2 linked regions of the Alligator mississippiensis genome follow. The protein of the gene in region 1 purifies or fractionates together with the protein of each later gene. This does not show direct contact. Links are inferred from orthologs where the notes say so. Each region holds a gene or a part of one and is shown in the gene's direction. Other genes may lie near its edges. The genes, in order: SERTAD4 and PPP2R2C.

The links.
Region 2: the proteins of SERTAD4 (region 1) and PPP2R2C purify together in Homo sapiens (affinity purification with mass spectrometry; 3 studies listed by BioGRID and IntAct, counting the BioPlex papers as one, with this or other methods). This does not show direct contact. The link is inferred for Alligator mississippiensis from reciprocal best matches to the Homo sapiens genes SERTAD4 and PPP2R2C.

Annotation. Positions count from the first base shown.
Region 1 is NC_081824.1:191,540,565-191,557,225, reverse strand, and holds the start of SERTAD4 (SERTA domain-containing protein 4), read left to right. Parts: upstream 1-10,355; 5' UTR 10,356-10,437; coding exon 10,438-10,603; intron 10,604-11,656; coding exon 11,657-11,772; intron 11,773-15,669; coding exon 15,670-16,410; 3' UTR 16,411-16,661.
Region 2 is NC_081825.1:26,447,836-26,464,406, forward strand, and holds the start of PPP2R2C (protein phosphatase 2, regulatory subunit B, gamma), read left to right. Parts: upstream 1-8,097; 5' UTR 8,098-8,625; coding exon 8,626-8,695; intron 8,696-16,571. UniProt on the Homo sapiens protein: The B regulatory subunit might modulate substrate selectivity and catalytic activity, and might also direct the localization of the catalytic enzyme to a particular subcellular compartment.

The DNA of each region.
Region 1 (16,661 bases):
GTTTCAGGCTCAATGATACTGGAATCATGATTCAATAATTTTTTTCCTTGTTTGGACTCCTGTTTTTATAAAGTATTTTGTCACAGATGATTTTGTGCTTTACAGGGTATTTTTTGTTGGTTCTAAATAGTACAAGGCAGAAAAAACATTTTCAAATGTCTTTCAAAATCAGACCTATCCTATTCTGTAAGCCAGGCCAAAGCAGAACACCCACTGATGGCATGGCAGAGGTGACACACAGATCCAGGGTGGAATCTGGCTGTTTATTGTAAGGAAATCTTGAATTACTGTTCTTTATTAATGTGCTATTGTAAGAACATTCAGCATCACTCATGGAAAACTACTTCCTGTGCATACACATAAAAAGCATATGGGGTGTATTGCTCTTTACAGGTAAATGTTGGTCTAAATGACTGTTTACTAACAATATACAAACATGCAAGGTCCAGTCCCAGACATACTGATTTTCTGACTGGCAACTTCTAAAAAAGGAAAAGATGACCACCACTAGAGGGCTTACATACAAAGGACACCATTCATATGTAGTGTACTGCTCTTTGTTTTTCTGTCTTCAACAGCCTCCATTTTTTTCTGTTTATGGGTGTTTGAAGATTGTGACATCAGATCTGAAACCAAGCTGATGGTTCATCAAGTAGTCATGGTCCCCACTTTGCTGTGTGGAGCTGAGATGTGGACAATGTACAGGAGCCATCTAAAGTTGCTGGAGAAGTATCATTAATGCTGCCTGTGGAAGAGCCTCTGAATCTAGTGGGAAGACAGATGCACCAATATTGATGTCCTCCTGCAAGCAAACACCATGAGTATTGAGGCAATGATCATCCAACATCAACTTCATTGGGCCAGCCAATTCATCTGGATATCCGACTCCAGATTCCCAAAGCAATTTTTATTCTCTCATCTTAGCCAAGGCGAATGCACAAGAGGAGGGCAGAGAAAGAGCTTCAGGAATGTCCTCAAGGCCAATTTAAAAAAATGGAATTTCAATGTCACCTCATGGGAGAGTATCACCCAGGACCAGCCCAAATGGAGGAAGAGTCTGCTGTGGGGATCTCAATACTTTGAAACTTCATGACAACAACAGGAGATGGAAAAGTGGGAGTGGCAGAAACAGCGTGTCGTGGACCAAATCAAGAATCCAGCACCACCTACTCCACATGGAAACATATGTCCAACCTGCAGTAGAGTCTGCCAATCCTGGATAGACCTCATCATCCATCTTCAGACAGACAGATAAGATAATCATGGAGATAATCAACTGTGAGGGATTGCCGAAGAAGACAGGTCTTTTCTTTTCTTCCCTCTACGTTTTCTTTCCTGAAGTACTCCCTGCTCCCACTTGCTCCTTGCTCCATTCCATCCACTGAAATGGTCAGTGGGGCAGTAGATAATGTTGAAATGAAAGTGTGCTTTCATCCACTCTAAGCCATATGTTGGAAGTCAAGTCCACATGCTGATGGCTTTCTTTACAATCATGACAATTTGAAATTTACAATTATTAAAAAAAAGAGCCTAAGATCCTATGGAGTTAAAATATGCCAGACTGGGTACATAAATACATTGGCCTTTTGCCTGATACACCTAGCTTAGATGCTGTACTGGACATTTGGTCATTAATGGGCACATCCACACAAGATGTTTCCTGTAGAGCTGCCTGATTAGCTCTGCTGTAAAGTCTCTCCATCTACATCTGTGATCCTATTAGGTTGCAGTAAACTAATAAACTCTGCCACAAGTTAGTACATGTAAATACAAGTACTATCCTGCTGTGGAATTTTTTAGTGTGCTGTAAAGCATGTGTAGATGCTGACAGGGCTGGCTGGGGCACTAGGATGCTTCCATGTAGGGGCTGCCTGCTCGCTAGGCTCACACTGGAGCACTCTTGTACTCCAACCAGCCCCTCTGCAGCACTTTGAGCCAAGGTAGAGCAGCCCCATGCTAGCAGGCTGACCCCCTGGGCCCCCCACCAGCCAAGGCTGCTCTGACTTGGCCCAACGTGCTGTGGTCCTGGGTATACATTCAAATGGTAATTTTATTATTGATTTCAGTGGGTACTTCCACATATAAATTTGGGTGAAAAAATAAACACCAGCACAGCTTGTACTGGTGTTTATTTCTACTGGGCACAGTGTTTACACATGCATCTGGGACTGCAGCACATTGAGCCAGGGAAGAGCACCCCCAGGGCTGACAGAGGGTCTGGGAGGGGTCAGCCCTGGGTGGTGGTGGAGGGCAGCAGAGGAGCTGGTTGTGGCACAAGGGTGTTACAGTGTGGGGCTAGGCAGCAGGCAGCACCCGCACTGAAGCACACTTGTGCCCCAGTCAGCCCCACTTTTCCAAATCCTAGATCCATCCCTGACTATGCTATGTGGTCCTGAGGCTTTCGGGGGTGATTGGTCCTTTGCTCCAGGTACAGCATGAGCCCTTTGCTAGAGACTATGGAAACATCTACACATAGACAAGTGGGGTGCAGGGACAACTTGCCCCTGTGCTGCTAGTGCTGCTGATATGCTGCCATGGGGGCAGAAGCCAGGCTTGAGTTGTGAGGTGCCCTGGGGTTCTGTCGGGCTGGGCACCGTGCCATGTCTGTGCATGGTGCCCAGCCCCCTCCTTCCCACCCCCCCACTCGGAAAGGGTGGAAAAGCTGAAGAGCTGAGGTGAAAGCACGGAGGGACACACAATCCAAAGGCTCCAGACGCCCTCTCCCTTGCTCCCCAGTACACCTTATGCTGATGTATTGATGCTGCTCAGAGCCGTTCCATTCTAGACCCGTCTTCCCTGGACCGCAGGGCCCAGCTGAAGTGCCCAGGCAGGAGCAAGTGAGGCTCATTCCCATTTCTGTTTTCTTTCGAGGGATGACTCAATCCATCATTAAAAAAATTCCAACTCCCTACTAAAAATGGCATCACAATCAGTGCCCTGGAGGAAAAAGAGACGGGGAAGGGGGGAAATGTGAAAAATGGGTCCTATTCCTGGCTTCATTTTCTTACACACACACAGCTGATGTTCGTCTTGTATTTGAAAAGTTTATTTTGAAAGGACAGGGGTAAGGATTCTGCGACAGGCTTGCTTTGCAAAGACTGGATCCAATTTTCGGAGTCTGTTGCCAATTTTTGTGAGTCATTTCCTTGGAATCCTACCTTTGGTGTTGATTTCCCTTAGAAGGAAACTTGTAAAAGAATAATAATAGCTCTTATTCTTCACGGAAAGTAGCACAGTCAAATGGAAGACAACTCGCTCTTTGTTCCAAAACACTTTTCTTTTCTTTTTTTTAATTTGTTTTGTTTACTTTCTTCAGCGGACAAAAGTGAACAAGGCAATGTAATTAACCCCATAAAACATCTAATTTATGGTGCCAGTGACATCCGTGTACTGCTCCACTGGAGTGAAAAGTTAACTGGGTAGGCAATTTTAATTGGTGCTTTTTTTAAAGTATGAATAACGAGTGCCACCTTATGATTTTGGAACTTTCTCATCTAAAGCTGCTTTTGCCTTGCCAACCCACCTTGACTTGCTTGACCACTTTTCTTTCTATTATACCAGACACAGTAATCATATCCACTATGTGTTCAACTTCAAAAGACAGCTGAAAAGTTAACTATCTAGGAAACATCATCGGTGGCAGCCTATAGTAACTGGAGCCCCTTTCATCTCCAGGATGTCAGTATTCTCCAAGCTAAACTTTAATTGATTTAAATGGATACAGGATGGCATTCTGTACTTTTGGAGGATTTATGCAGCTGCCAGTGATATGGCTCAGAACACTAGAAGTATCTTCTTCTCTTACTTGAAGATACCCTCTGGACTTGTATTATTCTCACAGAACAGGCAGGACCTCTCAAGCTTTCACCTGGAAAAAAATTGTACACTGTAAACATTTTAGAACCCAGTTTCATATCTACCTAAATCTTCCAATGAGAAATAGGTTACAAACTTTTAAATATTTTTCATATTCTCATAAATTGAAGTGCAAACTATAATGAAGACATGCCTTTCCATTTAAAAGTTAGCTGTAATGAATTCCAGGGGAGAAATTTAGGTGTGTTTATAGAATTCCAGAAGACTTGTTAGAGTCATGTACTGCATTTAAAAACCAAACACTAAAGAAATAATTAAAACCCCATTTTGCCATTTTATTTGAATTCTATTTATGATGACAAGTAATAGATGGAGGGGGAGGCATGCCTGTTAGTAGTACTTAATTATCACTTAATTAACCCTAGAATATCACAGGGAAATGTTGGATGTTAAGCCATTTAAAACCATTCTGTTCTGGTGTTTTCAAAAGAAATGGTAACAAGAAATTAAGGTCTGACACTGGAAAGCCAAAAATCCAAAAAGAGCATTCCAAAGATCAGGGAACATTCCCAGTAGCTTCAGGGAATCCCAAAAAGGTAACCTCAAGAAGCTGTAATTGCAGCATTCCAGTGGGAAAAGGATGAAATGAAAAAATTCAAGGCATCTGGACATGAAAAAAGTGGGTGACATACTTGCTTAAGATTATATCTTGAGAGCGAGCCTGGAACACGTAGATGTGGATCATTTAAATTAAGAGAGAAGTCAGAGAAGCAAAGGATAACTAAAACATTTCCCTGCCAAGGCTATTTCTTAACACACAAATCACACTCTGATTTCATGTAAATTCCCTTTGCTCTGAGCTGTGTCCAGCATCAGAAAAACCAGTGGTTTGCTTGAGTTTCCCTGATGCGAGGGCCAAAAACTACAGGGAAAAACACTAGACTTGGCAAGCCTGCAGTCTATCTGCCTCAGAAGGATGAAGAGCTGAATTGACCCTGTTGGCATGTAAACCTGTTGTTCTACCAGTCTAGGTTAGTCTAGTTATTTCAGTCTTGACTTAACCCTTTCATTGCTGTCACAACATGCATATGTTTGCAGATCAATAGTGGTATCTGCATTTCCAGTACAAAATGTACTTGAATGGATGAACAATGAGGCCCTGCATAATCTTACTCCCACCCACATCCTTGCTCCCATTTCCCTTCCTACCCTTTGCTATTTTCCCAGTTCTTTCACTTTACTTTTTACTTTACCTCTGTGTTCTCATCTCAGTGTCATACTTTTTATCAGGCTGAAACTGTGGTTCATTCAGTCTCACTCTCCTCTTTTTCTGTCCAGCACTTTACACTCTTCCTTCAAATTAACTTATTCAGTAAACTTTTCTCTTCTCCTTATCCATGAACCTTGCACCCTCCTTCACCTCAGCTCTTGTCTAACATTCTGCTCTATGCATTTTTGTTGTGCTTTTTGTGTTTGATTGAAGGTTGGCCCATGCAAGGAATGTCTCTGCATCTGTGTTTTTAAACATGCTGTATAGTTGTGGTACCACTATATTTCATTAATGTAAAGAGCAGGTATAACAGATTTTCCACTGTCTCTCTCTCCATCCACTCCTGTATCTCATCTTACCTCTCTGACTTCATGTCCTGGAAATCAGATTAAATTTCCCCTAACCCAAACCTAATTCTCTCTACCGGACCAAATTTCTGTCACTGCTGACAATATCAACATTCTCCCCATCCCCCAGCCCTTTATTTAGAGATCCTCTTTTACTCCTCACTTTCTTTTGCTGAGTGTAGATTGTGTCCAAACTGTGCTGCTTTATCCACAACATTTCTAAGGTATGTCCTTATTGTTTTTTTCCACCAATGAAAATTTGCATGTAGGTCATGATAAGCTCCCGTCCTGGATAGAACAACTTCCTCATGTTTGGACTCGCATCCCTCTGTCTGATCTTTTCAAGCACAGGTAGTAAGATAATTTAAAACCTCTTTTAAGACCTTTTCATACCATACTGCCATTACACTTGGGGATGTCTCCTTCAACTTCTGCTCCTTCCTCCATGACCTGCTGTTGCTGCAATGCTTGTTGCAGCAATTAATAACGGCCCAGCTGAACATGAGGACAGTTTACCCCTTATTTCTAATTTTGTACAAAATAGGTGTATATACAACATCACTTGTATTTGATTGCCTCTCCCCCAATGTTTGGATGGCACGTGTTCTGAAGCTGCAAGCACCTCTAGGCAGGGCTGTTACTTTGGAGGTGCTTGTAAAGTGTCTAACAAAATAAGACTTCTGGATGCTACTGCAATGGACATATTAAATAGTAACACTAAGCTACAGCCGATGAAGTTCTTGCTATTTTTGAGCACATGCATGAACAATGGCTTAGTATGACTAACAAAAGCAAGGAGATGCATCATTAACAATGTCATCCTGACCTTAAATCATACTGTTGTACTATAGAATTAGTACAGAATATATGGTAAATAGTGAGACCTCAGCACTACTTTATACAAGCTCAGGAGTTAAGAATGGAGTAGCTACTTTAAGTCTATTTTTGTGTCTTTATTGATCTTAGCAGGACCTGCAGCATTATTGTAACAAGCATTTTATATTTAAGTTCTGTTTTGAGAGGCATTCTAGAACTGTATAAAAAGCCCTTTTCATTGACATTGCATCAGGCTTGTTATAATGTGAATGGCATCATTACAGTTCTCTCATTAACATCATAATGGCTCTGGAGGAATAGTGAGTGAAAATCCCAGCAAGTGGAATAGAGTAGCAATGTATAGTAGTCTTACTGTGTGCAACTGCATACAGACAAAGTTTAACATTTTAACCTTCAGGCTGCTGTAGATGCCTCAGGGTGTCCTTCTACTGCTTGCATTTGGCTGGCAAAGTGGAAAAACTGTGGTAGCCTAAAGATTAAGGTCTGGGTTCAATAAAAAATTTTGACTGGGTTCCATGCCACCAATTCCCACACACGGCCCCCAAATGGATTTTTAAAAATTGAATCCAGTCCTAAGTATCAGCCTCTTGCTGCAATTTTGTACAGTGCACTCAAACATACCCTTTCATCTTTTGTATCAAGTGGTGTTAATAGAAGTGTAACAATGCATATGCTGTTCTATAAAGTTTCATTGAAATCAGTGGGATTTTGGACAGAGTCCTTATATTGCCTTAACAGTGGTGCTCACAGTTTTGTCCCAGCGGGCCAGATGAGTGGCACAGGGCTGGTCTGTGGGCTTAATCCGGCCCCGTGCTGCCTCCCCCTGCCTGAGATCGGGTCCTGGAGGTCCCACACCACCCCTGTCCAGCTGAGGTTGTGCCCTCATTCATCTTCTGTATCTGATCTAGCATGCATGAGACTCCTCACAGAACCCTAGGGAGTCCTGTGAGCTGGATGACATAGTGCCAGGGGGGAATCTAGCCCATGGCATGGGGGTTGAGAACCCTTGCCCTATAACAATGGGATATCAGTGGATTTGGGGCAGGGGTTGTGATTAACAAGCAAGGAGACCTGGGTACCATTTCTAGTTTTGCCACTTACTTGCTGTGTGACCACTGGCAAATCACTTAGAAATATATTCTGCCAACTTTAACCAAGGTAAATATTTTCTGAACCTGGAAGGAGATGCACTTAAATCCTGCTTTGTAGAGTAAGCTACTGCTTATTGTGAATGAACAGAGTAAAATTGGCAAAAACACTGAGAAGTAGACTCTGATTTTGCATGTTTCAGTTTCTGGATACTTGACTTCACACATTTTCAGAAATGCTGAGTACTCATAACACCCTTCAAAGGATTTTGGAGATGAGAGAAATCAGTGCTTCTGAAAACCAAGACCCAGGTGACTGGAAGCCCTTTCTCCAATGGGAGGATTGTTTTGAAAATTTGGGCTTCAGCCTTTGTGACCTTTAGTTATTTCTATGCAACATTAGTTTGTGACACTTAGCCATCTTTCTAAAGTATTCTGAGATCTACAGATAAAAATATTGGTTGTGGACTATATGGACTATTTGTTTTTGTTCTTATTTTATTAGAAAATGGTATGGAGGATAGATGTTGCTCATGGACAGTAACTATTTATAAAAGACAACCAACTTGCCTCTATTAATTTAGCATATAGTTAATAGCATGAACAGTTAATTTACTTTAAAAGCTGTCTGCAAAACTGTAGTTTTCAAGATGAATTTGCTGCTGTTCTGCCAAACTGTGCAGAAAGCATCCCAACATGTTCTTCTTTCCATGTCTTTTCTCTCTGATGAAACATAAAAAGACTTTGAAATGAAATAGTATGGGGGAAAAAAAACTGCAAGACTGGAAACTTTTTTTTGCCATATATTATCCTAATAAAAATATCTACAAAGGATATGCTGATTTATAAGAATTCATTAAATATGAAGAAATCCTGACTTCCCCACAGCAGCAGAGGGGTCTCTTACAACCCGTATTCTCTAAGGACAAATGCTAAATCTTGACATCATGCCAGCATCAGGAGATTGATATCTAGCTGTGAATGACTCCTCAGAGGAGGTTAATGAGAAGTAGATCAGTGCAGGAGAGCTCTCCAGTGACGGTGTAATCTCTTTAGGTACAAAATATTTAATTTCTAGCTAGTTCTCAGTCCTGGATGAGACTGAGACATTCAGTTGTGACCAGATTGGTCATATAGGGGGCACTCTAATGATGAAGTATAGAAGATACAGGGGATTTGATATAATATATGGTATGATGTACATGATACAATATATGATATGATAGTGGCAACCATTGATCCTCCTGGATCATGGTGTATGCCTTTGATGCATATGCCTGGGCAGGAATTTTTGGAGGAGTAGAGGCTGCCCAGACCTTCCATCCTCCTTTGAGGCCACTGAGACAGAATCCAAAGACCAGATGTTTGGTGCCTTCATGGTTGTAATCGTATGTGTCTGGGAATCAAATCCAGGTCTCCTGTGTGTGGTAGACAAGGAGTCTACCACTGAGCCACAGGGGACTCCACAGTATAGGATATGATAAAGGATATGCTATATGAGCTATGATATGATATAATATGACATGATATAATGCATCATGCAATATATGATATGATATAGGATATGTCATGAGATATAAGATGCTATGATATGACATGATACATCATACAATATATATGATGCATGATACAATATATATGATGTCATATGTGAAATATATGATACGGTATATGATATGACATAGGATATGCCATGCTATTGTGGGCTATGATATGATCTAATATGACATGATATACCTCATGCAATATATGATAGGATATAGGATGTCATGAGAGATGAGATATATGACATGATGCATCATACCATATATATATGACATGATACAATACAATATATGATATGATGCCATATGTGATATATATGATATAGGATATGGTATGCTATATGAGATACGATATGATATAATACATCATGCAATATATGGTATGATATAGGATACGTCACGATATATAAGATATATGATATAATATGACATGGTGATACATCCTGCAATACATGATATGATGCATGATACACGATCTGATATAGGATATGTCATGCTATGTGAGATATGATGCATCATACAACATATGATTTGACACATGATGCAATACGTGATCTGTTGTGATACAATATATATGATACAGGGGATGTCATGATATACGAGATGAAATGAATAGGATGAATGATTCGTACTAAGAGGATAGGCCATGGGCCATAACTGCCCACACCATTCTCTCCCTTCCCAGGAAAAGCAGCCTTAAGTGCCTGCTCCATTAGAAAGCGGGCGGAGAGGACTGCGTGCGTGGTGTTTCCCTGTTCCTAAGCCCGTTCCAAGCGAGCCAGCAGTCGCTTAGGAGGGGCAGCGCAGCAGCCGGCGGATGATGCTCGCCCCCTGCGGCCAGCCCTCCCGCCGCGCTGCCCCGGAACTCCCGCTTCCCGCTCGAGGGCAGGGCCACAAGGTCCCGGGGATAAACCCCTCTCGCTCGGCGGTGTCCTTCAGGTGGAAAGGAGAGAAAGCCAGATGCCAAGGCTTGCTCTCTCCCTCCCTTGCTCCGGCGCGGAGCGCCTCGCCTCGCCTCCTCCGTGTGCGCGCTTCACCTTGTGCCCTTCACCCCGGCCCCGCTCCCGCCGCACCACGCCGGGGCGGCTTCTACCTCCTGTTTGCGGGGCCCCGCACCCCCCAAAGTTTGCGTCCTCCCCGCTCCCGTGTCTCAGCAGCCCGCGGTCGCGCTCGGCTCCGCGGGGACCGCCGCTCGCGGCTTGAAACCGGAGCCGGGCTCTGCCTTCATCTCGCTGTGTTGTGACTGGAGGCAGCCCGGCCGGGGCCGGCGGGAGCGGCGCTTGCCACCGGGGTTGGGGGGGCAGAAAGCCGATCCCGCTCCCTCCACTCCCACACACACACACGCCTGAGCCGAGCCGCTGCCATCTGCGAGAGCCGCTGGGATCCCCCCTGCTCGGCTCCGCGGTTTGTTTGCGAGGGGCGGGCTCGCATCCGCGGGGCGGGGGCTCATCCCGGGATAGGCGGCGGCGGCGGCGGCGGCGCGGGGCGCTGAGCCGCGCTGTTTCCTTGCAGGTCGGCGGCGGCGGCGGGCAGCCATGACCCTGGTGCTGCCCATGAACAGGTTCTGCGAGCCCATTGTCTCGGACGGAGCCGCCTTCCCCCAGCCCCTGTGGGAGCCGCACTGTTGCAGCAAGGCCAGCGCCGCGGAGCCCGGCCCGGCCCCGCAGCCCGCGGGCGGGGCGCCCTGCCAGCCCCTGCCAGGTACGCGCCCAGCTCGGGGCCACGGGGTGGAGGGGGGTTGCTTGCACAGTCAAAACAAGAAGCCCCCTGGGCAGTGTGAGGAGGGGGCTGCTTGGGGGCCCCTTGGCACCAGCCAGCCCGGCAGGCCTGGGGAGGGGATGCAAAGACAGGTGGCAGCAAAGCCACTGCCCCCCTCTGCGGGCACTGCCAGGCAGGGGCTTCAGCAGCCCCATGCTCCGCTCCGTGGCTCTTAGGGTGCACAGAGCCCTGCTTGGCACGCAGGCGGGCAGCCAGCCCCAGTTTCTTAACTGCCCTAGGGCTCCGGCTGCCCCAGGGGTGGGTTTTTAATGAGCCAGGGGGGCTTGGGAAGAAGGGTGCCAGGGAGGGTGAGACGGTCTGGATTGTTACCCAGCTCAGCGCAGGTCTTGCTGACCGCCGGGCATGCCAGGTGAAGGTAGGAAGTAATGACGGGTGCTGCTGTAAAATATAATGCTCCATGCAGACGTGTTACATTTTTCCCCCCCGCTTTGCCACATGAGGTAGTTAAAAGCTGCTCCTGTTCATTTACTGGAGCACATCCTCTCGCCCTTGTCATTTCACAAGTTCCTTTCTGGTTCTCCCCCTCCTGGGAAATAAAAGCTGCCTGAAACAGAAAGATTGTCCACGACCGAATTTATTACGGTTGCGTGAAATTTATTTCAGTGTCGCAATGTAAAACTTCTTTTAACTCGGGCCCCCGGCATCTGAACGCGAGACACTGAGGAACGCAGCTCTTTGCCTGACTAGCTGGAAAAGTGGGAATGCAAGTTTTTCTAAACCAAAATGTATGAGAATGTCTATATATACCAGACGCATCAGTTTCCAGTGCTGTTAGCATGACCTTCGGCCGCCCATACTGACACATCTAAGGAGTTATTTGTTAGTAAGGTAGAAGTTTTTGTTTTTGATCGCAACAAATATGTAAAGATACGTGGTGGCGATATCCTGCAGCGAGTAGGAAAATGAAAAGTATTTTGTTTGGAGAACCTCCGGCAAGCCGCATGTCATTTGTCATATCTGATTTATTACCCACAGGCTCACATTACAGGGGAATTTCAAATCCTATAACAACATCCAAGATCACATACTTTAAAAGGAAATATGTGGAAGAAGAGGATTTTCATCCACCACTCAGCAGCTGTACACATAAAGTATGTTTTTAATAATCATTATTTTTACTAAGAGATTTAGATGCTTAGTAATACTTGCTTGAAGCAGAAATACTCTACCAAAATGGTGACAACGATCCAGCTGTTTGTATAAAAACAAACAGTTGACACATTTTTGGCCTAATTGTGTTATTTATTGTCATCAAATAGTTTAAGAAACAAAGCAGTTCCTTCAATGAGGATAACAGAAAAGATAAATACTCTGAATCACTTCCTTTTCCCATATAAATGTATTCATAAACAATTCCACTATGTTCATGTGGGGAGCGGGGCACCTGTCTAGTTTGCCTGCTAAAATTCACTAAGTATGTTTAAAAAAAAAAAAAGACCCTATAATCTCCCATTTGTTCATTAATTCATTCATTCATCATTGAGTTTCAGGGTAGGTTCTGCATGGGTATACTGGCCTAACATAAAAGCAGAATCACTTAAGGAAAGTATATTCTGCTCCAATGTTTTTTCTTATTCAAAAGATGAGCTTTAAAGATCAAACAGCATATTTTTATATTTCTTAAACACGGGCAAAAGTGGGGTTCTAGATAACATTTCCCAGGTTTGTGACAACATTAATTAAAATCTGATGTTACATGAAAGATTTAGAAAACTGCTTATGGTCCTTCTCATTAAGGGTTCAAAACATGCATAGTATAGACGATAGAGCATCCTCAGTTTTGTTCTGGAAGGCATCCTGAAACTTCAAGGGGTGATCTCCACCTGGCAGAATCATTTCTGGTTTCTGTGGCTGTGCTACATTAGAGATATGTAGAGACAGAGATGTCATATCTGAAAGATAGATAAGCCCTCCACCAGTGTATTTTATTTTCAAAATCTCTAAATGAGTGCCTTTAACAGGTGCTATTCTGACAGCCCTGGAGACTGAAGTCCTGTCTCCAGCTACAAAATGATTAAAGCAAGGACAGTAAGTTTCCCACACTGCCTTGCAATATAGCTCAGCAATATAGTATTCAGCTTTTACTTGGAGGGGTAACCTGCAGGAATGAGAAGGTAGTTTATCTTGTTCATATTTGCTGACAACCTCAGACCTGAAAGGAGAAGGTTGATAGTTGTGGTGGAAAGTCCCGTGGACAGATATTCACTTAGATGTGAACAAGCATTTGTAGGATCTAGCTCAGGTTTAGGCAGCTTAATTTAAGCCACCTAAAGCTGAATCAGGAGCAGTGCATGCAAGTATTCACTGCTTGCTGGGAGGAGGTGGTAGGAGCCTAGTAGGCTTGTACAAGAGGGGCTGGTGGCTCAGGTCCTGGGCTTTTGGGTCCAAGGGAAGTTGGTGGGTCTGTGATAAGTTGACAGGTCTGTGGTGGGAGGGAGGGGAGGAGGCTGCCTGGTCCCAGGGGGAGGCAAGGCGGTGTTGGTCAGAGTTAGGGGTGTGGAGTAGTGGGGCATTAAAACAGCACACCCTGAGGCTGTGGAGAGTGGCTGGACTTGCCTAGCCCTGGGCCTGTGCTGTGAACACATACAAGCATTCACTAGACTGAGTTAAACCTCGCTAGGCTGGATTAACACTCTGCCAATCTAAAGTTAATTCACCTCAGACCAGAACTAATTCTAGATTGGGGCACGCCATTTCTAGGGTGACTTAAGCCCTGTGCATGCTTGAGCCCTGGGGCATTTAGATTGCCCTAACCTTGATTAGGGCAGTCTAAAAGTAATGCTTGTTATGTACCTTTGGTGTGGAACAATTACAAGATCCCTTCAGAAATCTGAGAACACCAATCACAGAGTACCAGTTTTCAGTTACTGATGGCATTGGTTCTAGTAATTTATTGACCTAGAGATGGAAGCCTATCCTATTAGTACTTACCCAGTTCACTCTGTCACTCAGTCTATACAATATACTAGCTCTACTAAAAAATGTGCTTGCATATAGCATATTTTTAAAAGCCTCTAATTGCCACCATTTCTTTTGTCCTTGTGGTTTTTCACCTCCTTGTCTACTTCCCTCCCTCCCCATAATGAACACGTTTTTGTTGGAAAGGGGCAGACAATTTTTTTTTGTGGGGAGGAGGGAGGGAGGGAGGGAGGGATTAAATTGAAGACCAGATATAGGCATTGAGTTCCACAGTAAGTCTGTTTTATGTTATTGTTCTGTTGCTATTGCAAAAACGTATCGTAGGAAATCTGAGGTCACCAGTTTATTCTTTCAAGCACAAGTAAATTTTCTAATTTGCAACCTTACTGCTAGGGGGAGAGACAAAGGGAGATATTTCCCCCAGGCTTACTTGAATTGCTCACATATGTTTATACTCCTCTTTTCCCCCATTCATATGGACTAAGAAAGAGGCATGTTCTCAGACTTCCTTTTCCCTTTTGTCTAGTCACCGTGCGTGTGACCTGTTCAGTTGGTGCTGCAGTAGGATCTGGGTGGCAGAGCATTCACACTGTAGTGCTTTGGAACTTGCTTCTACTGGTGGTCTTTCATGGCACAGGTCTAGTGCTTTTCAGGTCACAGTGCAAGGCTTGTCTCTTTGGTGAAGTCTTTAATGAGCTAATGGATTATTTCTACAGCAGGGCATAAAGGACTCTGGTTAACCTATGGAGTTAATTTAAGTTAAAGCTAGAAATGTATTGTAGAAAATTATTACACCAGAGAAGAAAGTTCTGGTTGTGAACTTATTTGAAAAATAGTGCTAATTTTGGCTTCTGAAATGAACTGTGCTTCTACTGGTCTGTGCAGGGCAGACAGCAGCAGGCTGTGGAAAATACTACATGGTGTATGGGTACTGAGTACTACTGAAAAGTAGCTGTGTAGCAAGCTCTCCTGTCCCTTATAGCCACCATTTCCCACTGCAAAAATTCTGAAGCCACATGGGAAAAGGAGGAATGACCAGGCTGCAGATGGGGAAAATGAGAGCAGGCTCTTTGTGATGTGTTTCTTTCCTCCTACGCAAATTTTCCTGTTCTAAAAATGGAAATTAGTTAATGCTGCTTATAGTAGCAGATACTACCCCTCTGTACTTTGATTCCCAGGGTAAGGATTATGGCGAAGAAACCATGGTCTCCTGGGAGTAGTAACCTGTTCATGCTACCACTCCTGAGAAGGAAGGCCTACAAAGAAGCAGGGAAAAGGGAACAAATTTGTGGGCTTAGAGCCAGGGTTTTTTTACAAATCCCATCCTTTTTAGTTTCCTGACTTCGTCCCTGCCTATATATGTTCCCACTAGTCCCACGGATGGCTGGGTGTATCACTCAGCCCAACAGCTGCAATCCAGATGCTACAATCCTTTTGGATTGCTTTTTTGGTCACTACACACATTTTTGTATACAATTGCACTGTAAGAATTTGGTTAATGGAGACTCCTCATTGCAAGAGCCTGTTTAATTGCTCAGTCACTTCTGGCATGTGAACTGGCTGTTGACTGAGCCTTGTTTAACTTTAGATAGTCCTTGTTGTGATGGCCATATAGCGAGAATCCACCTTTCATTTTAGCACTGGAGAAATCCAGCAGTGCATAGGTTCCGCTCTGTTAACAAAAAAACCCTCCATACATTATCAGTATATCAATGCAGGGGAATTACAAATGGAGGTTACGCATACAGAAAATAAAGAGTCAGATTTTTACAACTAGTGTTTGGTCACTCAAAAACCTGGATTTGTGTATGCTTGCTTACACATACAGAATGCTTAGTCTTTTATTTTTTCAGTTCAGATGCTGGTCAGGAGATCTGGCTACCAACAATTGGGCCTTGGAATATATGGATATACAAACCTCGTAGCCCAGGTTGAGATCACTTGGGAACTCTGGCCCACCCAAAGTGTAAAACAGTGAATTTGTACACTGTCAATAAAGTGCTTAATTCTGTAACTGCATGAAGTGAAATTGGCTCATTCTTTTCTGTCTTTTGTGTCTCCGTTTTCAGACAATCTCAGTTTTTGAGGAGCGGGCCCATATTCTCTACATGTCTTTGGAAAAATTAAAATTTATTGATGATCCTGAAGTCTACCTGCGGAGATCTGTCCTTATAAACAATTTAATGAAGAGAATCCATGGAGAAATTATCATGCAAAACAACTGGTGCTTCTCTGCTTGCTCTTTTGGCAGCACCTCAGCACAAGAATGGTTCATGTCACAAGACTGTCCCTATAGAAAACGTCTCCGGATGGCAAAAGAGGAATGTGAAAAGTTCCATACATGCTGCTTTTATCAAGAGTGTGGCAGTCACTATTTAAATTTGCCATTCTCTGTTAATACTAATGGGGAAAATTCTTCCTCCTCCTCTTCCTCCTCCTCCCCTATCTCTTTGCCAAGTTGTTCCCAACAGGTGGATTATGGCATTGGCAATGCCCCTGTTTACAGGAGTGATGACCATATACTTGCCAATGAAATATTCATTACTAATGCCAGGTCTCATGGTAATCAGGAAAAGGCAAAATTAAATGATGAGAAAGGAGGTAATGAAACTGAACGAGATGGTGTCACTCTAAACTGTGAACCGATGAAAGGCGACCTTGCTCTTGAATGTAAAGGCAAATTTTATGATTATTTTGAGACTGGATCTAATGACAAGAGCAACATAAGTGAATCTTGGAAAAAATCCTTGAGGAAAAAGGAATCTTTACCAAGTAACAAAATGTGCTGCAGCAAAGGAAGTAAAATATGAGACACCCTTTTTTGCTGTAACTTTGACGCATGCACGGCATGTTCAGTTATCTATCAAAATTGTATTTTGAATGGATTTTTTATAGTTTTGTACAACTGATACAATCATGCCACAAACATTATGCGTATAGTTTTAAATGACTGGAGAGCAGATTGCCTAAAGCATCTGTATGATCAACATCAGTGAGCTATTTATAAATATGGAGACTTCATAAAGAGCACAGTTGAATTATTGCTTACAATTATAGTTTA
Region 2 (16,571 bases), on another chromosome or scaffold:
GTGTCCACACCTGAGGACAGGCTAGTGATCCAGGCTGACTTGGATAAACTTAGTAAGTGGGTGAACACAAACCTGATGTTGTTCAATACCGATAAATGTAAGGTACTCCACCTCAGGGGAAAAAAAACCCACAGCATGCTTATAGGCTCGGCAGTGCTATGCTTGCTAGCACCATGGCTGAAAGAGACTTGGGGTTCATGGTTGACCACAAGATGAACATGAGCCACCAATGCGATGTCGCAGTTGGTAAAGCAAACCAAACCCTGGCTTGCATCTATAGATGCTTCTCAAGTAAATCTCAGGGTGTCATCCTCCTGCTGTACTCGGTCTTGGTGAGGCCGCAGCTGGAGTACTGCATCCAGTTCTGGACTCCACAATTCAAGAAAGATGTTGAGAAGCTTGAGAGAGTCCAGAGGACAGCCATGCACATGATCAGAGGGCAAGAGAATAGGCATTATGAAGAGAGGCTGAGAGCCATGGGACTCTCCAGCCTGGAAAAGTGCAGGCTCAGGGGGGACCTGGTGGCTGCTTATAAGTACATAAAGGGTGTACATCAGGATCTGGGAGAACGTCTGTTCACCAGAGTGCCCCAAGGAAAAACAAGGACCAATGGTCATAAAATCCTACAAGACTGTTTTAGGTTGGACATAAGAAAAAAATTCTTTTCTGTCCGAGCCCTCAAGACCTGGAACAGACTCCCTCCAGAAGTGGTGCAGGCACCTACTCTGACTCATTCAAGAAACGTTTGGATGCTTATCTTGCTGGGGTCCTTTGACCCTAGCTGACTTCCTGCCCTTTGGGCAGGGGGCTGGACTTGATGATCTTCGAGGTCCCTTCCAGCCCTAATGTCTCTGAAATCTACAGAAATGTCCATGATTTTTGCCACTGAGTTTTAGTGGAGCTGGGGTTTTATCCCCACTCATTTTGCCTGCAAAACAACAAATACAAGAATGAATGCAAACGAAAGGGGAGGAAGTACACCAGCTCTCTCAAAAAGTTTGAGTCTTTGATATAAAATCAGTTTGTTTACAGCATGTACATTCTGATTTTAAATGAATTATAGGTATAATTTCTATTTTGTTATATTTATAGGATCTGACATCTCCTCCGTGAGCTGTAACTAATATTGTCATCCAATATTTATGATGTGTTAGCTTCTTACAAATATAGAGAAAATTCAGAATTATAACCGGGCCTATATTATTCCTATTTTTGCCTTTCATCTTTAAAGAGCCTTACAAACTAGAAACACATGTAGCAAACAGGAAAAAGGAGCACTATAACAAGTTAAAGAAACAAAGGGAGAGAAATTAAGTGACTAGCCTTTGATGATAGCACAGGACAGTGCTAGAAGTAGACTTAACATCTGATGGTTATTGGATCCCAGGCATGGGTATCCCGCTTGCCTGTTGGTTTATCACTAGGTTCCTTCCTTTCACTCCCTCAGCAGGGTAAGATGACAGCTGGTAAAGGGCACTGGCAGGGGCAGTGCTAGGGGAAGGCTTGTGGGGTGGGGCCACCCCAAAATTTGCCTTAGTCCCCCCTGTAGCCACCCCTTCCAGTATCACCCCAGTCCAAGTCCCCTGCCTGCCCCACGCAGCTGTGGCTGCACTGCTTCCGCCCACAGAGGTGCGGTGCTCCTGGCTTGGGCCAGCCTGCGGGACCCACGTCCCACCTTTGTTTTGCAGAGCCTCCACAATTTTCTGTCTAGCTCAGTGTTTCCCAACCTCTTCCAGCCCAAGGCACACTTACATTAATAAAATGTTTCCACAGCACCCCTGTTAAGGCATTCTCCATCCTCATACCTATTGTAGCTCATTGCCATGGCAACATTCCACAGCACACGTGTTCATTTACTATGGCACACTTTTATGCCATAGCATACTGGTTGGGAAACACTGGTCTAGCCCACCTCAGCCCCCACACCAGGAAGATGCTGGTGCTGCCCTGGGCACTGGGATCCAATTCAACAGCCAGCCAGTCGAGCGTTCCATAGTTCCCAATGCACGGGACAAGGAGGTGGTACGGCGAAATCGGAGAAGAGATGGGCGTGTGGGGAGGGGGGTGTGAGAAAGAGTAGGACTGGGTCTGCAGGCTGGCAGTGGAGAGACAAGCAGCTTTAGAGCTGGGACTGGAAGGTGGACAGATGGACTGAGATAAATCTCATTGCTAGAAGAAAGTCAGCAGTAACCACTGTTCCAACCCTGCAGCCCCAGAAACTGGCACAAGAAGCAAGGGAAAGTTTCTGCTTTTATACAGAAAATCATAGGGGTTAGGGTCACAAGCTAAAGGACCAAAGGGAAGGAACAGGTAAAAGGTAAAGAAAAATCAACACTGTAGTAACATATGCAACTCTTCTGCCAAGCATTGGTCAGCAGTAACAAGGGCTGGGTTCAATTTTGAGATGCTAAATATATTTTATGTTGGTTCGAGCCCCCACCTAGACCACCTGGGAAACACTAAATGAATTACTAGGGTGTCTCGCATAAACAAACCCCCCTCCTCGCAAACAGTATAAACACAAACATCCACATTTATTACGTAGAAAGAACAAAACAAAAGAAAACATTAAATATAATTTAAAAACACCATTACTAAAAGCAAAGCCTCTTGGGGGAGGCTTCACCCAGACCCAGGCAGCCTGGGATTTGGGCTCCCCGTACCTGCCCGTCAGCAATGGGCTGGAGAGGGGGCCCATACTGCTCCTGGGGTTCACTGTGCCACAGGGAGCTGCTTGAGGGTGGGGGTCCTTCTGCATTGCAAGGGGCTCCGTTGCTCCTGGAGACATGGTACAGCGCCGACTCCACTTTTACATGGCGGCTTTGAGGGGTTAACTCTGGTTTTCTTCAGCATTACTGCACCCCGAAATTCCTAGTCCCAATCCCAGTTTTGCTGGGCAGAAAAATGGAAAAGGGCTCAAAGGTAAAAGGTCAGGCCTATCTTGCTGGGCCTGAACTGGGCAGCAAAAGTTGGCCAGGCTTATAGTGCACCAAAGCCTGGATAAACTAGTAGGGTCAGATCTCACCCTGGCTCAGACTGCGCCAGGCTTTACCCTGGCCCAAATCTACCAGCCAAACATATAGTTGAGGTTCAGCTGCCCAGCTAGGCTGAAATGCAGTAGCTGTGAAACAGCAAAAAGGGCTCAGGCCTATGGCTGAAGCCTGGATATCCAGTTTCAGCTATACGTATCACAATGCTGAGACACTACAATTCCCAAACGCAGGCCAGTAACTGCCACGACCCATTCCTGGGCAGTTTGCTCCAGGGATTAATACCCCCATGGCATTAACCCATTTAGGGGAAAAAGGGGTGACGGGAAGGGAGGAAATAGGAGTCTCAAACTCCGAGACAGACTTTTTCTCCCTGAGGCTTTCCTGTCCCACACATAGCTTTTGCTTGCCTCTCCAGTGAAGAGGGGGGAGACCCCCCCCCACCAGGGAGCAGGTTTTCTGGCTCTCACTTCAGCTGTGCGGCTCTCAGCACCCCCAGGAGAAAGAGAGAGTGACCCTCAGTGAGTGGTGTGACACCACCCAAGCCTTGTTCAATTAGGGACTCCCACAGCCCAGCTTCTCTCTTGCTCATCTTCCTGGAGGACCTTCTGTTTTAGGCCAGAAGGTTTTACATATTTTGCCCAGATACAGACCCCAGCTTGCCAGATGCTGAGCACATGGCCAGAGCAACAGGGGCCATCTTGCCCACATACAACACCCCCCCTGGCCCCCATGGTGTGGGTGTGGGTGTTACACACATGGAACTCCCAGAAACCCACAGGGACTGGGGCCGGGTGGGGGAGCAAGGGAAAAGAAGAAGTTTGAGGCTGGATTAAGGGGAAGAGAGAGCGGAGTGTACGTGGAGCCTGGTCAGCCCGACGCAGAGGAGTGTGCAGTGGGGTTGGAGATCTCAACCAGGGCTGTGGATTGAAGCAGCTGGACTCAGACTTGGGGGGAGCTGCAGTCTGATTGGCTGATTGTAATATTTGGTTCTGCTGTGCCCCTGTTTAATCAATGAAAAAGGTGAAGTATCTGTCTAAATTTAATTTGGACCTTAATTTCATTCAGCACCTTAATTTCCCTCCTCCTCTAGAGGTGTCCCCAGACAAGCCTTTAGTCTCTAGAGCACTCAAACTGCAGACTGCAGCGGCCCCCAAGTCTGAGTCCAGCTTCTTCAATTCACAGCCCTGGCTGAGGTCTCCAACCCCACTGCACACTCCTCTGCGTAGGGCTGACCAGGCTCCACGTACACTCTGCTCTCTCTTCCCCTTATTCCAGCCTCAAACTTCTTCTTTTTTTTTCCTTGCCTCCCCACGCCCCTGTGGGTTTCTGGGAGTTGCAATCCAAATGAACAGATTGTTCTGCAGCTCTGCAGACTGCCCCCTGGTTCCACCTGCTGTTACACACATTACATTCACATTACCACAGCAGGAGCTACAGCAAAGCAGCTTGCAGGAAAGGGCGGCATGAGAGGGTTGCATTAAAAGTTAGCCTTGCATCTCTGTACTGGAGTGCCTGCTAAGGACAGGGCTTGAAACTGTTGGTTTTGAACTGATCGATAACTGTTAAAGTAGTTGTGCCTAGTGTATTGCTGCAGGGATGTAGGTTCTAGCCGTGTTGATCTAAGGTCATAAGCAGATAATGTTCTTTGGGTAAATTTGATATCTTTACCTAAAGAACCTTGTCTGCCTAGTCTACTTGCTAGCATTTCTTCTTCAGTATCAGCCTCATGCCCCTGGCTGCCTCCTGCTGTTTCCCAAGCCCAGTGCACTGCAGAGGGAGTGTAGGCACCTAATTGCAGGCACGCACTCCACTCTGGGAATCATAGAATCATAGAAAATTAGGGATGGAAGTGACGTCAGGAGGTCACCCCCCTAGTCCATCCCCCCGTTCAAAGCAGCACCATCCCCAGCTAGATCATTCCAGCAGGGGCTTTGTCAAGCTGGGCCTTAGAAACCTCCAAGGATGGAGATTCCATCACCTCTCGAGGTAACCCATTCCAGTGCTTCACCACCCTCCTAGTGAGAGAGTTTTTCCTAATATTCAACTAAAACCTCCCTTGCTGCAACCTGAGACCACTGCTCCTTGTTCTGTCATCTGTCACCACTGAAAACAGCCTATTTCCATCCTCTTTCGAACTACCCTTCAGGTAGTTAAAGGCTGTCACTAAATCCCCTCCCCGTCTTCTCTTATGAATGCTAAATAAGCCCAGTTCCCTTAGCTTCTCCTCAGAAGTCATGTGCCCCAGCCCTCAAATCATCTTCATTGCCTTCTGCTGGACTCTCTTCAACTTGTCCATGTCCTTTCTATAGTGGGGGCCCAAAACTAGACACCGTACTCCAGATGTGGCTTCACCAGTGCAGAATAGAACAAAATAATTACTTCCCTCAATCTGCTGCTAATGCTCCCACTAATGCATCCCAGTATGCTGTTAGCCTTCTTGACAACAAGGACACACTGGTGATTCATATCCAGCTTATTATCCACTGTATCCCCCAGGTCCTTTTCTGCAGAGCTGCTGCCCAGCCAGTCAGCCCCCAGTACTGTACTGGTGCATGGGATTGTTCCGTCCTAAGTACAGGACTTTGTACTTGTTTTGCTGGGCAGAAAAATGGAAACCTTGTTGAACTTCATGAGATTTCTTTTGGCCCAGTCCTCCAATTTGTCTAGGTCACTCTGAATCCTAGCCCTACCCTCTAGTGTATCTACTACTACCCACAGCTTGGTGTCGTCTCCAACTTGCTGAGCGTGCACTCCATCACATCTTCCAGGTCATTGATGAAGACATTGAACAAAACTGGCCCTAGGACCAACTCCTAGGGCACTCCTCTTGGTACCAGCTGCCAACTAGACATTGAGCTGTTGATTACTACTCACTGAGCCCAACAATCCAGCTAGGTTTCTACGCACCTTACAGTCCATTCATTCAACCCATACTTTCTCGCAAGAATGCTGTAGATGGTATCAACAGCTGTGGCTGTTCCTGCTGGGTTTGGCCCATGCACTTGAGGTGTGAGGCTATGGCGCTGGAAGTGGGGGTTGGGGCCCCCCTCCGTTGCCTCACTTGCAGCACTGCTGCCACCGCCTGGCCTGAGCACAGCCCAATTTGGAGCAGCTTCGCGGGAACAGCCCACAGCCTGTCCGCTCCACCCTGTGGGCAGATCCAGGGGCACATGTCCCCCATAACCCTCCTGGGCTGCGTGCTCTCCCTCCCTGCACCCCCAAGATGAACTGCTTGTGGCTCTGTCCCCTGTCCCACACCAACTGTACAGGGCCTGCTCCTGCTTCAGCCCTGCTACCTACCTCATAGCTGCAGCCACTGGCGCTGCCCAACGTTTGGGGGGGCACATACCCCCTCCCATCTGTGTGCAGTGGAGGCAGCTCCCTCTGGGGGCTGGACTTTGTGCCTCAAGCCCCACTACACCTGTCCCCTGGGCCTCCGCCCCTTCCCTGCCCCACAGACTGAACTGCTGGACTGAGGGAGGCACATGTGGGCATGCACGCACTAGCTCAGCCCCCGCCAACCACAAGATCTATCACTGATGTAGACTGTCACAACTCTAGTACTTTTAACCATGTGAATATCTGGGATCAACTTAAAAAATTCTGGGTTCTGGGATCAACTTAAAAAATATTTATGTGGCGTGGTATTTATTAAAGATATTTTAAATACAGAAATAACATGTCAGGCATGCCCACTATGAAGCTTAGTTTATCTAGTAAAAAAGTGAAAAATATTATATATAGCTATTGTGGATAGCTAAGATTCAAGTTGCAAATTTCTTCCACCTTGCAGGGAAGCATTCTGTTGCTCCCGTATCTGTGTGTTAAGGTTAAATGTTCATTCAGCCTGACTGGTTGGCTGATTGTAATATTTGGTTCTGCTCTGCCCCTGTTTAATCAATGAAAAAGGGGAAGTATCTGTCTAAATTTCATTTACTTAACACTGGAATCCCTAGAAAGTGATGATTAATATTGTCTACTGTAGCGATTCTGGTGTCATACATAGCATTACACTTTCTGTTTGCTTATGTAGCGTTCAAGTAAAATTAAGCATGTGACAGACCTTACTGAATTTATCTTTAATAACCAAAGTATTAGATTCATTTTCAAAAAAGGAGCTGAGATCTGGAGATCTGGCATGACACACCCAATGCTGCACAAGTTGTCTGTGTCAGGTGCTGGAAACTAAACTCAGATGTCTCAAATTTAAATCCAGTGCATAAAATGCAAGATCATTCTTTTCTCCCTTAATTGCTTACTGACCAATATTTCCTTTTCTTACCCCAGTGGTGGCTTAATATTGATGCACAGAGTGCTTTCATTACTTAAAAAAATCACCCTCTTTTTAAAGCAAACACTAGTACAGTTTAGGTCTTAGTTTGGAGAAATGGCAATATTTTCCCCAAAGCTTGGGAACCACGCTGGCCCATTCCATTAAAAGAGTTTAGTAGCATAGACCTTTAAAACTGCATTTCCTTGAAAGGTTTTGGCAAAAGGGCAACCTTCATTTTACAGTGCAGAGGAATATATTTTTCTTTCCTTGGCTTCCCAAGGGGCTCGTGCTCTACATTCCTTTCTCGGGGTGGGGGATAATGCAGTGAACAAAAATAGTAAGGAACTCCCACCCTATATATAACCTGCAAGCACAGCCTGTATCCACCTTCCCCTGCTGGTTCAGTCTGTCTGCTGTGAAACCTGAGATTTTTTTCTCTCTTTTTGCTGCTTATTCCTTTATATGTCCTAATTTGCTTTTTAGCTACAGAACTAGAGCAAGCAAAGGCTGTGCTCTAATATATTCTTAAGATCTCCTCATTTCTTAACCGGTCCTTTTTCATAGGCAGCTTTTGGGCAGTTTCATTAGTGCTCATTCAAACTGACATTGAACGACTGTTGCTTTTGCTGCTTATGGCAGTATTGACCAGCACCAAATTGTAGCTTCACGCTACTGTGGAATGTGTGTCAATGCAAACCCATTTAAGTTAAGCAGCCTGAAGTTTTTTTCCTCTCTCTTCCCTTAAATCTTCTGTTGCCCAGCTTGCCAGCAGAAGAGCTCAAATAATTACCTGCAGTCTCATTTTTCACTTTACTACATGCAGATCTTGTGTGGTTGGGCAGAGAGGCTGGCTGGGAGGGGCCTGCTCTGATGCAGCAGAGGCATATGACAGCAGTAGCAGCAACAGCAATCACAGAGCTTCACCAGGCAGCTTTTGCTGCAGTCCGCTGATTGCCACTTTCTTCCAGGCAGCGAGATTCCACCGCAGCGAGCCCTTGGAGCAGACTCCGCATGGGAGCTTGTTTAAGGAGTACCTGACTAAACAATTGGGTTATTCTTTACCTGCAGGAGAAGTGCCTGTCTTCTCTTTACACAGGTCCCCTGCTGTGGCTTCCCCCCCTCCCATCATTAATTTATTGGAGCTATTTTCCTCCCTTCTTCTTTTTTTCTTTATTACTGTTCTCATTATTCACTTCCCAAATCTGTGCTGCATCACCAGCTCTCATGATGCTGTGCTCAGGAGCCCAGTGTGTTCCCCGCCTCTGCTAGGCAGTGGCAGCATGGATGGTGCTCTTGTGACGACCTCTGCTGATGCTATCAGTCCACTGCGGATAGGCATGCTGAGTAATCCTGCTGTCAATGGGCGAGGACACGGACACACGGAAAATTAACCACAGCTTTCTGCGAGACCACAACTATGTGACTGAAGGTAACATGAACATTGTGTTTATTCTCTTCTGCTCTTTGCCTGTCTGCCTGGGCTCTGCAAGGAATGCACTGTCATGTTGGGATGTGTAAGAAAATGCATTTTCCTGTGTAACAGAAGCAGAGTCCGTTTGGATTTGCTGGCACCCAGGTGTATTTTGTCACACTGCCACACTGTGCTGAACTGCCTGGGCTGGAGAAGGGATTGCATTGGGATCAGGGTGTGCTAGCGAGGTGTGCAGCACCCAGCTTGACTTGCCTCCGAGATGCACTGCAACAGATCAGAGGCGAGGATGGTTTAAAAAAAGATAGACTGTGCTGCTTTAAGCTAGGAGCTGTAATGTGTAAAGTTAACTGTTTTGCTGGTGTCATGAAGGTTATGCATCTCATTTTGGCAATAATAGCAGCCTGATCACCACAGAAATTGCTGAGTTGGTTGTTCCCTGGAGGACAGTATAAACCTAGAAGGAATATGTATGCATGGTCTTTGGAATACTGCGGTGGCTTCCTCCCATCCTCTAAAGACCTGCAAGGGATAAGAGGAAAGAAATTAGACCTGCAGATTGAGTCTTTAAATGGCTGGTGGCTTGTTATATAAAAAAGGAGGTCCTGGCAGGTGACACACGTTTTACATTAGGAGAAGTTACCTGTCAGCCATGTAAATGTAACTGGTCAGGGGACTGAAGAGCTCTATGCTTCATTGTTGAAAAGTTGTTTTAAAAATAGGTCATCCTAAGACTGAATGAACAGAAGAAATGTTTTGTGTGTGGCTGATTCCCAAGCATGTATGCTAAGTATTAACAGTGCAGTGTTTTAGAAGCAGGAAATGATAGAAGCAGTATTTTAAATGTCGTCTTACATAATACGAACATACAACATCAGGGTCGACCAATACTGCTTGAGCCTGAATCTCCAGATTGTGTCGTCATTCGATTAGTGTTCAGCCACCTAACGTTCTCCTGCCGCATCCTGAAATTTGATCAGTTGATTATTGATGATTTGAATTTTTTAGGAAGCAAGAAACAGCAGGCTTATTTAGCTGCACTAGGCATGCAAAGCTGATTTTTTCAGAGGGGAAATTGCAAATACTATGCTTGCTGTCTATAAGCAATGCCATTGGTCAGTATAATCATTTGGTAATCTTGCCTCTAGGGTATTCTTTGCTTTCTGGTTCTTGTTTTTGTCCATTTTTTTGGTTCATGTTTTTATTGTCTGCAATGTGTTGTCTGTTTTCTTTCCTTTATCTTGAGGTATAATTACTTGAAATAACATCCAAAGAAACTTTATGTCTTAAATGTCATGCCAAGGACTGCAAAGATGTGCTGCATGACTACTGCAGTATACTGCATGCTGAGGTTGTGATGCATATGTGTGGTACTATAGGAGCCTTTTGTTAAAATGGTGACTCTGCAAATGCCTACCAGTTTTTTTAAAATAAAGACATTATCTCTTTTGGCTTTAGTATAACATTGTACTTTTAAATTGCGTGCTGCAATAAGTGAGGATTTTAGAAATTGTACAGTGATGTTTAGTCAGCATTGCTGTGTGCTCTGCTGACTCACTCGTTGGCTGGAGCACGCTTTAGCTTCACGTGATATTCAGAGCAGAAGCTACTGATACTCTTCCATGGGTGCTGCATGGGGACTGACCTACCCAAATCAGATCAGAAAAGACTCTGAATAGAAATGTCAGCTTTTCCTTATGAGAAGTCATGTTACCAAAAGTCTTGCTTAAACTGCACTGTTGTGTGTGGCTTTGACAGGTGAAACAGGATATTTTATATAGTAAAGTGTTGCTTTGGGGGCTGTTCCTCATTTTACGTATTTTACGGAGAAAGGGCAAAATGGTCAGCATCAGTCCAGCTGTTCACCTCTTCTACATCTCAGAGATCACTGATCAGTTGTATTAAGCAGAGAATGAGCTTTTCTTTTTTTGTGAAACTCATCACACTCCTGGGGACACCTTCAGTTTTCCACTCCTTTAAACACTACTATTTCTAATGTGTCACTAATGTAATTCGGCTTAAAAGATACACAGGTGTTTATATTGTTGTTGTTGTTTTTTTTAACTTAAAATAAGTTCTTCCTCACTGAAATAAGCTTACAACTTTTTCCTTCATAAAGCTTTCAGTGGGACATAACTTGTCCCGTTTTTTCCTACTATATGCCAGGTTTAAGCACAAGTTGGCTAATACAGACTACTGAGACAGAAAAATATAATTTGCCCTGATTATATTTTTTGGCAAATAATACTATTTTATAATAAAACAAATTTGGTTTTGGCTCTCTGGCCTGGTATTAGTACAACTGTTTTATTATTCACCCTCTGACACTAAAATAGACTGAAACAGAGGTTTTATGTTTTACTAGTTTCAAAACAAAAAATAAATTCTTGGCATTTTACTCAGAAGATCTGAAAAATACTGATTGCTTTGAGTTCACAGCTAGCTTCTTTTTTCTCTCTTATACTTAAACATTTAAAATTGCTTTAAGGGACTTCTTCAAATTTTCTTTTCTATGCATGTTGCTCCATGCAGCAAACTACATTTGTTTTCGACAAGGAAGTCCTTCTGACCTTTGTATGCACTTTTCCATCTCTTTTCTTTGGAGAAAAGAAGGCCACTGCACTCAAGAGGACATCAGTAGTTATCTGTAATAATGTTTGACTTCCTTCCCTATTTCAGTGATGAATATCAGTATTGATGTAAATGACCAGGTTACACCCAAATTTATACTGTATGTTATGATGATGGGACAAATCTGGTTCACTTCACTTATGCTAGCAGACCAGTTGATTTCAATGGAACTACTTGAATGAGTAAAACCAATAGGATTTGGTCCTTTATTTTGTCTACATTTTTTATTCCTACATCATTTTTTAAGTGCCTTGATTTATACAAGTATGTTATTTTATTCCTTTGAAGTTTTTTGTCCAAACAATGAATTGCCCTTGTTTTTAGAAATTGGGCCATTTTTATAGCAGCTTATTGGGTTTGGTTGGGGTTCTTTTATAACTGTAACTTTGGTTTTGATCCTAACATGGTTCATTCAGGTTTTGGGTGAAGTCATTGAATTTGCAACAAGTTTGCATTTGGCCCATTTGTTCATTTTTGCTTCTAAAAATAGTTTATACCGTAAGTGGTTTAAAAACAACACAAATTCAGATAGTGACGGCAACATATTTTTGCAAAGTTGTTGCCTTTAATAAGTGGTGTGTTTTAGAAATTCTGAAGGTGAACTGAATTAGTGAACTATGTTTTTTTCAGTACAATCTCTGCTTTTTTATCCTGCACTGTGGGAACTGCAGGAGTTCATTTTAAGCACAGAATACTTTCCTAGCCACTGAGAAAATGTGCTGTAAACATAGCACCCACAGAACAATGTAAAGCAGAGAATAATGATGCAAAGAGAAGAGATGGTATAACATGGAAAGGAATAAGGGGCAGTATATTAGTGCCAATATATATAAAGACAACTTGAGTAGGAAGAAGAATACCATTTTCTGAAATAGAGAAATGGTGAAGCACCAAGAGGGAAGGAATGAGTGAGGAGCAAATGTTGAGTGCTCTTGGGCTAGGGACAGACATTCAAAAAGCTGGAGCCTGAATTGATTCAATCTTTGCAGGTTAGTCTAACCTGTATAGATTGAACTAATTTGCAAGTGAATAGACATTCTCTTTTGATTCTGGGAAAGCAGTCACATGCCTGCGGTGGCTCAGGCTAGAAGCTGGGGGGCACTAGAACGAGCCCTCCCTTTCCTTCCTTTCAGAAGCAGCTGCTGGGCATGCCTGGAGGGCAAGGGAGGAAGCAGCCCTTGCAAGGATTGTCCTGAGGCCAGACACTGGCCAGGGCAGTGGCTCAGGCTAAGGGGATGTGGGGTTTAAACTCCCCAGTCTCCATGCAGGCACAGGATCCCTGCTGGGTTCCCCCTGCTTCTGCTTGGGTGGTGGGAGGGCCGGCCAGAGCCGGCCAGCATGGCCCTCCTATCCACCTGGGGCTGGGGCTGTGGCTGCAGCTGTGGAGCTGAGCCGAGTTGGGCTGCGGGTGCTGCTGAGAGCAGACACGGAGGGCCCTTCCCAGCTGTGTCTCAGGATGGGGCCATGGCGGCTGCGCAGCCAGATTGCTCCCCTGCTCCCAGACCAGGTGGGGCTGTCATGAAGCCACAGCAGTGGCTGCGGCTCTGTGACAGCCTGGCCCAGCAGCACACATTTGGGCTGGCTGGGTAGCGGGCTGCCTGGGTGGCTTGGAGGTGCCAGTGGGCCCCGAACCTGGAAGCTGCTGTCTGCAGCTGCTGCTGCACCCCCTGTTCTGTGCAGCACCCGGCGGCTGCCCCCACATCACAAGCTGTGGGCTGGCTGGACTGTTCTGTTCCCCTCACCTCCAGATGCGGCTCCTGCCGCCCTGTGCAGTACTGCTCAGGGTAGGGGGAGCCCCGCAGCTAGCGCCCATGTCGCTGTGGCTCCAGCTGCCTTCCATCCCCTCTGCCCTCCCAGCGTGATGAGCAGACCCTGCGGATGGAAGGCAGCCAGAGCTAGAGCTGGAGCTCCATGCGCTGGGCAGCAACTGCTGGGCTGAAGCTTCTCTTTCGCCCACCCAGAGTGGTGCGGCAGGGGTGGAAGCAGCAGTGGCCGTGGCAGTGGCAGTTAGAGGCGAGAGGGGCAGAACAGGCTGCCTGGCCCACGCTAATCTGCAGCATGTGGTGCGGCTGCAGCTGCCAGGTGCTGCACAGGACCGAGGGGATGACGGCAGCTGTGGCAGGTGGCTGCCAGGCTCGGGGCCCACCAGCGCCTCCCAGGCAGCCTGCTGCCTGGCCAGCCCGTGCCCGTGTTGCCAGACTGGGCTGTCACGGAGCTGCAGTTGCTGCTGCGGCTCCATGACAGCCCTGCCTGGCCTGGGCTAGGGGAGCTGGGACCAATCCGGCCGTGCAGCCCCCATGGCCCTAGTCTGAGCTGCAGCCCGCTGGGAAGGGCCCGGCCCCCATGGCCCAGCCCGGGCTGGTACCTCCACATCCACTCTGCAGCACCTTAGGCTGGCTCAGCTCAGCTCCAGCCCCAGCCCCAGCCTGGAGCTGAGCAAAGGGGTGGGGCCAGCTCTGCTGTCTGGAGCAGACAGCCCAGCCCAGCCCACGGCTGAAATGCATGCTGGGATGCTGAGGGACTCTGGATTAATTTAAACTAGGAAGGGGTCTGGGACAGAAGTTGCATCAACTGATTTGACCCAAATCAGTTAAGTATGATACTACTTTCAACCAGGCGTATCTTAAACCAGTTTCAGACATTTTGAAACTGGTTTATGGTCACTGAACTTATGTTCTGTTACAGGTTTAAACCAGTTTCAGATCACTTAAACTAGTTTATGTGTAACTTCTGTCCCTAGCTGAACAGGAGCAGGAATATCCTTCTTTTTCCCTAGGATAGTGCTCAAATAGGACGTTAACTATGACTGTAGTTACACATTTTTGTGACAAAAAAATAAAGATCATTAATGATAAAATATAAGGAGCTGGCACAAGGAAATAAAAAAAGAAGAGAAAGTGCTAGGGAGGCATCTAGAAAGGATCAGAAAGGAAGGAAGGAAGAAGAGGTGGTCTTAATGTAGCAAGGTATTTAAATATACTGTATGCCTACTGTTAAGCATGTTAATGGTCCCTCTAACCCTACTGGGATCATCATTTGCTTAAAGTGAGTTTGATCAATACAACAGTTCCAGTAGAAACCATGAGATTAGCCTAATGCTTACATTTGGGCATATGCTTATGCAAGCAGCTGAATTGGGAGCCAGATGGATGAAAGAAAAGGAAAACATTTAGAACTGTGACTTGTTATACATTACGGTTTTTTTCCTGGCAGAGAGGGATTTATGGGGAAAGGAATGCAGTAGAAAAAATGCTCAAACAAGCTATACTTTTGGCAGCTCTGTGTTCCATAGAGTAATAATGGAAAATGGGGGGGGCGGGGGGGTGGAATCACCACAGGGCTGATACAATCATCTGGTAGTTGTGGAAGGAGAGGGTTTGTAGCATCTCTGTGAAAAGCTGATATAGAGAACTGTGTTTTTGGAAAACGTCAGAAGTTGGTGGCATTGAGAAGCCCAAGTGTTCAAAATGTCAATGTGCCAAGTCCTGCATTAACTTAAACATAGCCTTTTATTTTTTATCTCAGGATTCTTATTTGCCTTTTGATTTACTGAACATTTAAAACTCCTATTTCTAAGCTGTTATCTCAAAGCACTTGGAGAAACCATTTTTCAGTCTTTCTGTAGGTAGGTTCTAAGGGGAGGGGGCATGGCCTGAGCAGTTGTTCATCTTTGCCACTAACTCAGGAATGATATTTTCACAGATCCCCTCTCTTCTTGTAGATCTGGCCAGTAAAAATCACTGAGAGGAGGTTGTTCATAGTGCATTTTTCGCAGAGAGGCAGGTTCTTACCTTGGTTATGTCCTTCTAAGCACAGATGAAGTCAGTGGAGCTGAAAAGATGGAACTGAGGATGGAACTGGCTCTTTACGTATACTTTTTATATAGTCAAATGGAACAAAAGGTAATCATGTTAAATGTAGTATAGTATCTGAGGTGCAATAAGAATTACTGTGATATTGTAAAATAGAATATTGAACCATATTTATAACCATTAAAACAAATACTGTATTTAGTATGTGGAATGAAAATGTCATTTTCATAAAATGCCTTCACATGTTGGGAATACAGTGCTGGTTTTTAAAACCTTCCAGAGAAAACTGAAAGCATGAGATATAAAAAGCAGGATGCCTTTGTTTTTAACTAAAGTTATCAATACCTTTCCTTGCTTAAGCTAAGTCAGAGAAAGATGTCCATCTTCTCTTGCCAACAACAAGTGTCTTTGTAAACTGGTGATTAGTAAGGATCCTAAAAAAACATAAAAGACCTTTTATATGAAGAAGTGCTAACCCACCACAGAGTCTTCTGCTTATGTAGGAGTACAAAGGAAAGTTGGCATTGCTATACTGCAGTGGCACTCAACCTTTTGGTCCTGCGGGCAGGGTGAAGGGGCCAGTCCATTGGCCAGATTGGACCCTGTGTGCCAGGACTGGGCCCTGGGGCCCTGTGCCAGCCCACCTGATCCCACGTGCTGGGATTGGACTGCGGGGGGCCCCATGCCACCTCTGCCCAGTCCTGTGTGCTGGGACTGGGTTCTGCACTGCCCTGCATGCTCAGTCAAGTCCACAGTGTCACAGCCTGTGGGGTTCCTCACACAGTTGTGGGGGGCTCTGTGGGTAGGATGACATAATACCAGGGGTTGTATCTAGCTTGTAGGCCAAGGGTTAGCACCACTGCTGTGATGAATCAGATCCAGTGCACATTTAGTTCAATTATTTGTCTTTGAAAAGTGACTAGCACCAGCTTTATTTGAAGAAGATGCAAGCAGTAATTCTCCCTGGAGGAAGATTGATGGCTTATACCCCTTCCAAAATTCATGATAATAAATGCTTTTTAAAAAATAACTCTGGGGAGTCTTGCTAATTCTCATGACAATAACTTAAATTTTATTTTTTTATTCAAGTCATGTATGAGTAAAGGTAAATCTTTAAAAATATCTTACCCCAGAATGCCTAGTTAAACAAAACATAGTTATTATGCCTTTGTGTGCCTTAGGTATGCATAGTTATGCCACCTAAACATAACATTATGCCATAGTTATGTCATCTTTCCTCCATAAATCAAATCAAATGACTGTTTTGGATGATCCTGAATATTTTGGATCAGCACATTTTATTCAACCCACATAGTGCAGTGGATCTTGTAATCCTTTCCTACAGGAAGAGTTGAACAGTATTCAGACAAGACACAAAGTGAATTGCTATATATTAGTAAAACTCATCACTTGCACAGTAGTGTCTCCCTGGT